Linked DNA regions of Drosophila melanogaster. The gene in region 3 interacts genetically with the main gene of each other region. Each region holds a gene or a part of one and is shown on either strand. Other genes may lie near its edges.

Region 1 (3,756 bases), about 10 Mb from region 3:
CAGCTGGGAGACAATCGGATAGTTGGCAGCGGCACCTCCGGTTAAGGAGGAGTCACTGCGACGAAAGCAGCCATCGATCTTAACCCGCTCGTAATGACGCGTGGCCTCCGCTCGCGTGGAAGCCCTAGCCAAGCGGACGGTAAAGCAGCGCCGATCCATGCGTAGTCGGTCATCAATGGTCGCCAAATGGGCCATTCTCCGCGGGCTGGGTGTTCGTCGGTTGTACGGGTGATCCTCGTCATCGTCCGCCTCTCCCTGCTGCCGACCCAGACGGTGTTCCTCCGTCTCCATTTCCTCCTCCTCCAGATCACTGCCCGAAGTTGAGGCCGACGTGGAAGTGGAGTGCTGCTGGGGATTGTGCCCCTGCTGCTGGTGGTGCTGATGCTGATAGAACAGGGTCTCTATATCCCTGGGTATTAGCTGCTGTCTTAACAGATCCTGATCATCGGGATGCGTGATCTGCAGTAGATTCTGGCCATACAAATCGGACTGACAGTGACCCAATAGCTGCTCCACGCTGGTGGATACCAAAACGATTTGGCCACTGCAGGTTAGGGTGAGGAAGCAGCAGTCCAGCAGTTGCATTAGAGTGTCCGTTAGATGCAGACTGGGATTGGGTAGATCTCCGACAGGTGAGGCAGACATACCCGTTCCCTTGAGGCCGGTTTTCTTGCGACGTCTGGAAGCGGACTTGCCAAAGACATACTGAAGTCTCAGGCCATGGGTGGCGAATCTAAGGACGGCGGTTTTGTCCAGGCGACGGGAGGATTCGGCTGCATGTGGTACCATGGTGGCCAGCTCCTGGATGCTGGCATTAAGCTTATCCCGTCGCTGTTTTTCGGCAAGGTTACGGGCCTCCCGTCCATTCGCTGGATCTGAGGAGCTCCCACTTCCCGATCCCGATCCCGATCCCGATCCTGTCGAGCCAGCGGATCCTGTGGAGCCCGTGTTGCCCGTCTCTGGTGCTGCCATTTTGGACTTTTTGGGCGTTTTCTGGAGTTACTGCCTCCTTGTTTTCCACTTGTAATCCTCGATTTATGGATTTTCCCCTTTAATTGGCGCCTTGCGGTAAATGAAAATCGTCACTCTCCATAACAGGGTGTACGCTCCGCACTTCTAGAATTGTTATTATGGAAATTTTTCGGCTAAAATATATTTTTTATTACTTTTGCAGCTTTTAGTTTCTTATTTTTGGCTGTTGTCTTGTTTTTTTTGCTGCTTTTAAAGTTTTCAAGGTCTCGCTTATGCTGTGCTGTTGTTTTTGTTTTTGCTCGCCTCCCCTCTCTCGCTCACTCTCCTTCGCTCACTGACACACACACACACACGTCACTCTCACGCAACGTACATATGTTTTCTCTTTTCGCTTTCGTACTTTTCCACTTGCTTTTAGTCTTATTATTACTATTATTTGCTTCCCTATTTATTTATGCGTTTCGCCTTGTAGTTTTTTATTTTTCGTTTTTTTTTTACGTTTTGATTGCGTTGCGAATCTGAATCTCCTGCTTATTGTTGTTGCTGTTGCTGGTGGCGTTGTTGTTGTTGCGATTTAATGCCCGCAATAAGGAAATTCGGAGGGCGGCGGTCGTTTTAACAACGCACTTGCTGCTTGCACTTATTTTTGTTTATACTAAGTGATTAATTGTTTATTTGTAACATTTATTTTATAACAATAAACATTGGCCAGTCTAAAAACTATCGATACATCGATGTAACTGGTTGTCGTACTAAAATTCGCACGTTCACACCGGACAAAATATCAGAAAGATTCGAACATCTTGTTCGCTGTCGATAACATTGTTGTAATACATGTAATCTATCAGGTCTTTTTATAATTCTATTATAAATTATTTTTATTAATTCTTATTATAATACATAAGTCCACAGTAATAATGTAATAACTTTTGATGTTACAATAAATCCATAAATATTTTTGCTACAAAATTCGAATAATTTCGATAGCAGACGTCATGCAATTTTATTATCGATTAGCACGCTCGATAACTATTGGCGCTCTTTCTTGTTTACGGCATTTCATTTTCTGCTGAAATTGGCTGTTTTTTGAACGTTATTAACTGAGGAGTTATTATGGATGCCTTTGATCCACGCTCGATTATCAACGGCGGCATGCTGAAGCAGTTTTCCGGCCAAACCGTGAGCATAATGGTTCGCGTGGAGAGCGTCGCGGGATCCACTTTGCTGGCCAGTTCCACAGACAACCACAAGCTAAAGATCAATCTGCCGGGTGAGCTGGGCGCCGCCGAAGGGGCCTGGGTCGAGGTCATTGGAGTGCCCCATGGTGCGGACACCCTCAGGGCCAAGGAGGTGGGTGCACTCAATCCATGGAGTCATTTATTTCAATGATCCCAAACCATTTGCCCACTATTCATTTGCAGGTCATCGAGTTTGGCGGCGAGAACATCGACTTCGATAAGGATGGCTATAATGGATTGAGCCACCTGATTAACAATGTCAAGGCCTTCTATCGCAGCGGCTAGGATGTCCACAATTATATCTAAGAATTAATATTATGTACTCTAATGTTATTTTTTCCATTTTTTTGGAGAACACTCAGAGCTGGCATTAACTTTAAATATAAATCATCTATCTACATATATTACGAGTACAATTTACGGGTGTTTTAACCAGTTCCACGTATATTCTACAACAAATACTTAATACCCACAATTTAATAACATAAACAACACATTCTTAAACGCTCTTGTGTAATAACATTTACTTCCACAATTTGTTATTGTATATATGTTGGTATAAAAAGACTAACTAGCAGATAATCAATTCAACAGTTGAACAATTAACATAGGGCGAGCCAGCTGACGAGTGATGACCAGTTGCATGGACTCCAAGTCCGTATGCAACTTGAGGGTTATTGCAGCACAGCCGCATTGGCCACCACGCTAGGATTGTTGACCACCTCGCCGAGCGAATCGAGAACCTCCTTTCTGTAGTCATCGAACTCTCCAACAATCTCGTTGATCGTCTGATCCTCAATTACGTAGAGAGTGCAACCTGTTTCACGGATCAAACGCTCGTCGTGGGAGACGATGATCACGCCACCCTCGTACTCGTTGATTGCCTCCGCCAAGGCGTCGATACTCTCGATGTCCAGATTGTTCGTAGGCTCATCGAGAATTAGTACATCCGGCGCACTCAAGCATAGCTCAGCGAGGGCCACACGGGCTTTCTGACCACCGGACAGATCCTTCATCTTGATGGTGTGTGCATGACTGACCAAACCAAAGGAACCCAATGCCTTACGCGCCTTTTCGTGGGGCAGATTGAACAGACGCTGCAGGTACTCTGCAGCCGATTCCTCTGCCGTGAGATGTTCACCTGAGTGCTGATCGAAGCGGCCCACATGAAGTCGGTGATTCTTGCGCTGCTCACCCTCCTGCGGTTCCAATTCACCGAGCAGCAGCTTGAGGAAGGTTGATTTGCCCACACCATTGGGTCCCACGATGGCCACTCGACTAGTTAGATCAATGCCAAAGTCAACCTTGATGAACAGCGGTTTCTGGCTCGGAAAGGCGAAGGTGACATTGTGGACACCCAGAATGGGTGGCTGGAGCTGCGATGGCTCCGGGAAGCGGAACTTGACAATATATTCCTTGGGCCTGGCCAACAGCTCCTGAGGTCCCTCATCCTCGTCCTGTTTCTGCTGCTTAGACTTGTTCTTCTCCTGCTTGCGTGTGAGCGATTCCTTCTGCTTCTTTTCCGCTGCCTTCTTCGACTGACCGT
Region 2 (3,756 bases), about 11 Mb from region 3:
GCCTGACCAACTTCTTCCTCAATACACTAGTCCTATCTACGCTCTTTATGGGCGGCCACCTCATGTCTACGGAGAGTCTGTCGCCGGGTGCTCTGATGGCCTTCCTGGTCGCTTCGCAGGGTGTGCAGCGATCCCTTGCCCAGGGATCCATCCTGCTGGGCACCATGATCAGAGGCATGTCGGCCGGCAGTCGAGTCTTCGAGTTCCTATCGCTGCAGCCACAGGTGGAATTGCTGCGCGGCTACATCATCCCGCAGGAGCGGCTGCACGGCGAGATTCGATTCGAGAACGTCTCATTCGCATATCCCATGCAACCCGATCATGTGAGTTGTATTAAAGTATATCTTCATTTCATTCTCGAGACAATGATGGCATATTTACATTAATCGATGCTCTGTAATTTGTAAACTCGCCACTTTTTTATATAATATTGAATAACTTCTTATCGCTTCCGCAAGTAGATAACCATTTTATAATACCCACAAACATTTATGGCCAATATTTACGGCTAAGTGATAAAAAGATTAGAGTCTAGGCAATGCAAACAGTAATGAACTTCCTATGTCAATTTTTGCTTCATTCACAGCTGGTGCTCAAGGACTTTAGCCTGACGCTCCGCCCGGGCCAGACGGTGGCCCTGGTGGGAGCCAGTGGATCGGGCAAGTCGACGATAGCGTCGCTGGTGGAACGCTTCTACGAACCATCGGCGGGCAATATCAAACTGGACGGCTACAAGCTGTCGGACATATCGCCCTATTGGCTGCGGTCCAATGTCCTCGGTTTCATCGAACAGCAGCCGGTGCTGTTTGGCACATCGATATTGGAGAACATCCGATATGGTAAACCAGATGCGGGCGAGGAGGATGTGTATGCGGCAGCGCGTCTATCACAATCGCACGACTTTGTGACCGCCCTGCCCGATGGATATGCGACGCATGTGGGCGAACGGGGCACCCAGTTGAGCGGCGGTCAGCGGCAACGCATCGCCATTGCACGGGCGCTGCTCAAGAATCCGCGCATCCTCATCCTCGACGAGGCGACGAGTGCCTTGGACGCCACCAGCGAGGCGGAAGTGCAGAAGGCACTCGATACAGTGGTCCAGAATCGCACCACTCTGGTGATTGCCCATCGCTTGTCCACGATACGAAACGCTGACCTCATTGTCGTCCTTGATCAGGGACGCGTCGTGGAGGTGAGTTGTCCTAGACCATTGGTATCTTCAGAAATATTTATATTTTCCCTTGTTTTAGACCGGCAAACATGACGAACTGATGGGCAAGCGGGGCCTGTACTTTGAGCTGGTGCGTCAGCAGGAACGACGGGACATCCAGGAGCAAGTCCAGGCGGTGGAGGACGTTGTGGCCGTCAAGGAGCAGCAGGCAACTGCAACAGAAACTTCAACAGCCGCAACAATTGCAACTGCCGCAGAAACTTCCGCAGCAACAGTGACAGTGGGGAGCAGCAGCTTCGGTGGCAGGGCAAACGCAGCGCAAGGATAGTGACGATGTTAGGCAAATTGAATGATTCCCTATACACTTAATTTAATATTCTTATAATGTTTTCACTTTTTTTTTTGTTTTCAACTGACCAAAAACAAAAATGGTGAGAGACGCTAACAATAAGTATACAATAAAATAAACGCTGAAGACAGTATTGTTTTTGTTATAAACAGAAAGTATTTCATTGTCATTATCGCTAAATTCACCGGGTTCATTAAAAATAGATGGGATGCGTGAACTTAAATTAAAGTTTGAAAAACTGAATATAAAACACTTGAAATCCCAATTTCCGTTAAATAATATATTCAATGGGACCGCATTATTTCTACAACCATACTCATATACGGTCACTCGAAGATTAAAGAAAAACTATTTCAATATTCAATTCTGTTCAATATTTCTTGTTAGTGACAAGCAGCGTGTTTATAATAAAAAATTTGTTCATTAAAGAGTTTATATATTTTTTAAGTTGATTGGCAGCTAGACGATAGTTTTGAGATTCTTTAATGACAGTCCTACGGTCACACTGGCTGAATTGTATTTTATTTTGTGTAGTTTTGTTGTTGTTTTGTTTATTATGCATTTCTTTTTTATTGTTTGAGTTAGCGAGCTGTGCGTCGCGTCGGCATTTAAACAAAATCCGCGGCATTTCGGTAGTTGCGATTAATAATTGCTTGGCGGGAATTACAGTCGAATAAGAAATTGGCGAGGAAAAACCAACAAATGTGCAATGTGCGTCAAGTCAATAGCAATACAAACGAACAATTATGTAAGTGTGTGTGTGTGTTTGGTTTAGTTTAGTGTACAAGTCCAGCAAAAAACAATAAAATCTAAGTAAAAAACCAGTTGTTGTTGCTATTGGCTTTGCTAATGTCGTGTTGTTCCCGTTCCCCCACACACATTTTCTAACAGCGCGTGCATGTGTGTGTGTGTGTGTGTGTGTGCAGCACCTGTACGCGTGTGTGTGTGTGCTTCTGCCTCCGCACAGTGGACACATTCCTGAATTTTGGAGTCCAAAAATATGCAAATTGCCTGAGTGAATTAATTGACTTAATTAACAAAAATTGGACCGCAAGTTATGATAACCATAGTTGATTAAACGGAATTAGTTTCTAGCGGGACTAGTGCGACAAATACTCAAACTTACTTGATTTTTTACCATTCGTTCCATTCGTAAACCTAGCTTGTCTTGGCTATTTTATAGACTTCAGTCAGGGTGGCACACCCACTCATTTCCAATCTCTTCAAAGCAAAATCACAGCACTGTGATATGGTTGGTTAAAGTAAAAGTTCAATGGGTTAAGCAGGTGATTAAAGGCACATTAACCCCTAATGGAGCTTGGACTGCACTTAACGCACGGCTCACATGTGACCACTGTGCGCGCGTGCAAGTGTGTGCGTGTGCATTCGTCATTCATTGGTCATGTTTATGCGGTCGGAAGAGGGACGTGCACAACAACTACAGTTAGCTCAGCTGAAGTGCAATTGCGATTGCAGTTGATCCAAAGAGTCGCGTTTGTTGTTGCATCAACCGGAGTTTTCACGGTCAATGTTGAGCTATATCCATAAATACACAAACATTCATGTGTATTTGCATATACATATGTATGTCCATATGCATATATCCATGGATTATGCATGCAAATCGATGATGGAAATCAGGCGGTATAGCGAATTCCGATGGGGGGCAGCTGACTCAGGATCGAAGTCTTTATCACTGAACCCTAAACTAATGACTACCGGACTCAATTATTTTGTTTTGTTCGGTCATTTTGTTTAGTACGCAAAAATATTTACATGGCTATCGCTTTAGCAATAAAGTTCGAATTGCTGTCCCAGTATATCATAAAAAATCACGGAGAGTTTTGAATGCAATTGGTTTTGAAAAATGCCAAACCTTCCTATCATTAACACTTAAATCAGTTAGAAAAACTAATATAATACTATATTAGTTGATAATAAATGCATTTCATGTATGATATCATTGTAGATATCTTTTTTCTCAACGTTAATGATAATGGGTAAAGATAGCTTATTTATAGACCTACATTGCCTATATGATATTTGCTTAGTTTCCACTGGTTCATATCGACCTGTTGACGATAATTGGCCAAGTTCCGTGACTGCTGGTCTATATTTACTATATTTAATACCTATTCCGTCATCGACTAATACCTTTTTTTTAACCTCCCGCCCCCCTGCTCTTTACCCACAGTGCTAACGTGATCGGGCCAAGGCACAAAAACATTCCATGCAT
Region 3 (3,756 bases):
ACCGCTTGACTGCGTGCCTGTCTGGCCATTTGAGTCTCGCTGTTGGCCCAGTTCCAGAAGCAAACCCATTGAAAGCAAAAGTTTCAGAAACACCACCGCTCCTCACGTGACTTACCTGCCGTAGAGCTAATCCTGAGATTGATTCCTGAGACCGATTGCGATCGAAATAGAATCAGCAAAAGCCTGAGTGGGTTGCTAAAAGGATACTATGTATATAACGAGAAACATCAACAGAAAAAAAAATATAAACGCAACGAAAACAAAATTGGCGTGGAAGCAAGCTGCTTGCGGATGTGCAGATATACAGATATGCGGATATGCGGATGCCGATATTATGTGAACTTGCGAATTCAGCGCGACTTGCACTTTGCGCGAGCGATTTACGGTACTCAGTTTGCAGTTTGCAATTCGCAATTGGCGATGAGCTGCCACACGACGTTTGCTCAGTGCGACGCTGAACAGCAAACTGCAGTTCCGCCGTTTCGGGCTGGCTTTCGATCGTTCCCGAACCCTGCCCAACCGGCCTTCGTGTTCGGCCGAGTGCAGATCCTCAGCTGCCTTCGCCTTGGCCGTGAGCTTCACGAAGCCTCAGTCTGACTGACAGACTGCAGCCGAAAAAGCGAGGAGTGGCGGGTAGCGGACAAGTGGGGAAGTGGGGAAGTGGGGAAGTGTGGAAGTGTAGAAGTGGAACAATGCAGCGCAGAGTCCAGGGGTGGAGAAGCTGAAACGGGGCTGAAAGAGGCGACTGAGGCTACTGTGCTGCCCTGCTTCCTGCAGTGCATCTGTATCTGTAACAGTATATGTGTCTGTATCTGTATATGTATATGTAGCTGCATCTGTATCTGTATCTGTATCCGTACACTCTGTGCGTCTTTGTGTGCCTTTGTATGCAGATGCACCGAAATTTTTGGACAGTTCGAAGGGAGGGGTCTAGGCCCGGTCCGTCCGCTTTTGTGACTCTTCATCAAAGTGCTAATGAGGAGAGCCGAGCCCAAAGGCAGAGAGGGAGAGAGCAGGCAGCTGCATCGGATGACTCAAATGTCCTTCTTATGGATCGGGCCACGAATCCGAATCAAATTTCAGTGTGTATCTGTACCTGCAACCGTGTGTGAGAATATGGATGTGTGTGTGTGTGTATGTCGATATAGATCTGGATGCTAGGCTCCCTCTGCCCCTAGATCAAGGAGCTTCCAGCACGTTCGGTTTGCCCTACAAAGCAAAGCGGATGGGGTCGGATGGGATGTAGGAAACCCTTACCTGGATGGTGCGGTTGTAGTTGCGCTCAGTAGGTGCATCCTTGCTCATGGCGGCGCTTCATTGGGTCGACTACTTGGGGATGCACACTGATTATTCACTTGAACTTTTGGGGCTTTGGGTTTTTGGGGTTGGCTTTCGCTTTTTCCGCTCCTGATTCTGCGATTCAGTGATTTAGCTATTCTTGGATTCTTAGATTCTTTTGATTCAAAACGCGCGCGAATCGCGCACTAGATGGTTTGCGTCCTTTGGTCTTTGCTTGGGTGCACTTGACAAAAAACACAAAAAAATAGAACAGAGGGAATTGTCCAGTCCTCGTGTGTGTGTTGGATACTGCTGTGGTGCGTTGGTGCGGTGGTGCGAGGGTAGGCGTGGGGTGGGCACTAATGCTATTCAATTCGGGCTCAAACTTAGAAATGGAAATTGAAATTGTGCGTTTAGGCTGAACTAACTTTAGTAACTGAACCGATCGAATTAAAAAGCTCAACTGAGTTCCGAAAAAATGCAGTTAAATGTGTTGGGCTTGTGCCGCTGCCCTCTGCCAGTGTGCGTGTGTATTGGTGTGTGCGCGAGTGTGTGCGTCTGCCCAATTGAATCAGAGAATTCGCTGTGCACCAGTGTTTGTGATATATATGTGTGTGTGTGTATATACTTATGCCGCCTGTATGTTTCATTCGCTTTTTTCGCTTCTTGCTTTTTACTTTTTACTTTTTGCCTTATTTGCTCGCTTTTTTGTTATATACTTCTCGTGTGCGATTGTGTGTTTCCTTCGCTTTTTTGGAGTGCAGCGACGTCGACGGCGGCGGCAGCGGCAGCAGTGCGATCTGCGATCTGCGATCTGCGTTCTGCGATCAACTCGATCCGATCGCTGCAGTTTACAGCGCTGCCTGCAGCGCAGTCGCCAAAAAAACGAGCAAATTTTCTGCGCATGCGACGGCGGCGAAGCCGAGCAAGCGAAAATTGCGTTTTTTTCGGGGGTTCCATGTGTGTGGTTGTGGTTTTTTTATTATTTTTTTTTCTGCTGTCCGTATATTCTGTTGTGTTTTCTGGTATTGCCCATTTAGAAGTTTTGTTTATTCATTGTCAGGCCGACAAAATTGGGGGAAATGAAATGCAAAGTCGTCGGCGAGCGAACGAATCAACGAGCGCCGCCCACACACCGATGCAATTACAAACGCGAATGTTTGGGGCAGATCCGCAGATCGGCAGCGGCAAATTGTAAATAGAGTGATATGGAGCGAGAGGGGTAAGGGGAATGGGAACGGGTAGGGGAATATGCAACTTTCCCCCTATGTAACTCCAAAGATACAGAAAGCGGTACATACGCACACAAAGTCGGCGGCGATCGGAGCGTTTTTTTTTTTAGGCAGAATATCGTCGTGCGTCTTCGGCTCGGAATTGCCCGATTTCACGACCCGCCTGTACCCCCTTCCCACCATACCCCCACAGAGGGTTCCAATTGAAAGTGTAGCCCACATTTCGAGCCCCATCCCAAACGCAAACCCAAATCCAAAGTCGGCCTGTTTTTAGGGCCTTCCCCTGCCTTCCCTCCCTTGCGTCACCCTTTGGAATTGCATTTTCTGCTGATGTTGGTGAAGAGTTGTTTAATATTTTGGTTACCATTACCATTACCATTACCGCATTTTATTACATGGCTCCCCTGTTTGCCATAACCCAGATTCCCATTTCCCTGCTCCCCCGCCCCACCTCCTGGCACGCACAAAGACTTAAGACCGAAGACTGCAGAGCGAAGATTTGCTGGCCCTGAGGAGAAACTGAGCGACTGAGTCTGAGAAACTTGTTGCCACTTGCATCTTGTTTGCCAGTTTTTTTTTTTGTCCGAATTTAATTGTTTTTGCAGCGTTTTTATTTTACTGCTGCATCCCCTTGTTGTTGTCGCCGATATTTTTATGAGCTGTTTTTGGTTTTTTTATTTTTTAGATTCATGCGTGGCGATTTTGGTTTTTTAATTCTGCTGGTCTCGCACTCACGTTAGCATTTTTCAAGAATTGTCTTGAGTGTTGTTTTGTTAAGGTTTCCCTGTCTGCAGTGACCTCTTGCCGATTCATAAACGTATAAATGTATCTACACGTACCATATACACAACATTACCTACGTACCCATAATGCCTTTATTGCTGCGTCTCGTTCGGTTTATGGTTGTTTCAAGATCATCGCAAATGTCACCGAGTCACAGATTAGCCAGAAAGAGGCGAGTCGCGCGGGCAGGGACCACTGTAGTCGCTCTAAGCTCCGCTCCTTTGTTGGGTCTCCGGTTTCGGGTTGGGTGCTTTGCAATTACAACCGGCATTAACCTCTAGGCGGCGCAAACGGAGTCGCAGGCAGCCAACAACCTCGACAACAACCTGACGGCGTAGACGCCGACGTCGAAGGCAGAAGGCAGAAAACAGCGACTGCGAAGGCGAAATGATCACATTGAACTTGTCGATGTCGTTTGTTCTAATTGAAACTGCAGTGGGTTAGTCACCCGCAGTCACTCGCT

Evidence for each region.
Region 1: of br (region 3) and Met, changing one enhances a phenotype caused by changing the other (phenotypic enhancement), as found in Drosophila melanogaster (2 studies listed by BioGRID).
Region 2: of br (region 3) and LIMK1, changing one enhances a phenotype caused by changing the other (phenotypic enhancement), as found in Drosophila melanogaster (one study listed by BioGRID).

What each region holds. Positions count from the first base shown.
Region 1 is NC_004354.4:11,614,084-11,617,839, reverse strand, and holds the start of Met (Methoprene-tolerant), read right to left. Parts: upstream 1,717-3,756; 5' UTR 973-1,716; coding exon 1-972. Other genes in the region: RPA3 (replication protein A3), read left to right, coding at 2,086-2,322, 2,394-2,495; CG1703 (uncharacterized protein), read right to left, coding at 2,885-3,756.
Region 2 is NC_004354.4:12,590,443-12,594,198, reverse strand, and holds the start of LIMK1 (LIM domain kinase 1), read left to right. Parts: upstream 1-2,005; 5' UTR 2,006-2,268; intron 2,269-3,714; 5' UTR 3,715-3,750; coding exon 3,751-3,756. Other genes in the region: CG1824 (uncharacterized protein), read left to right, coding at 1-323, 587-1,192, 1,251-1,499. UniProt on the Drosophila melanogaster protein: Protein kinase which regulates actin filament dynamics. Phosphorylates and inactivates the actin binding/depolymerizing factor tsr/cofilin, thereby stabilizing the actin cytoskeleton.
Region 3 is NC_004354.4:1,610,305-1,614,060, reverse strand, and holds the start of br (broad), read right to left. Parts: upstream 1,721-3,756; 5' UTR 1,258-1,720; intron 405-1,257; exon of another isoform or gene 116-404; intron 1-115.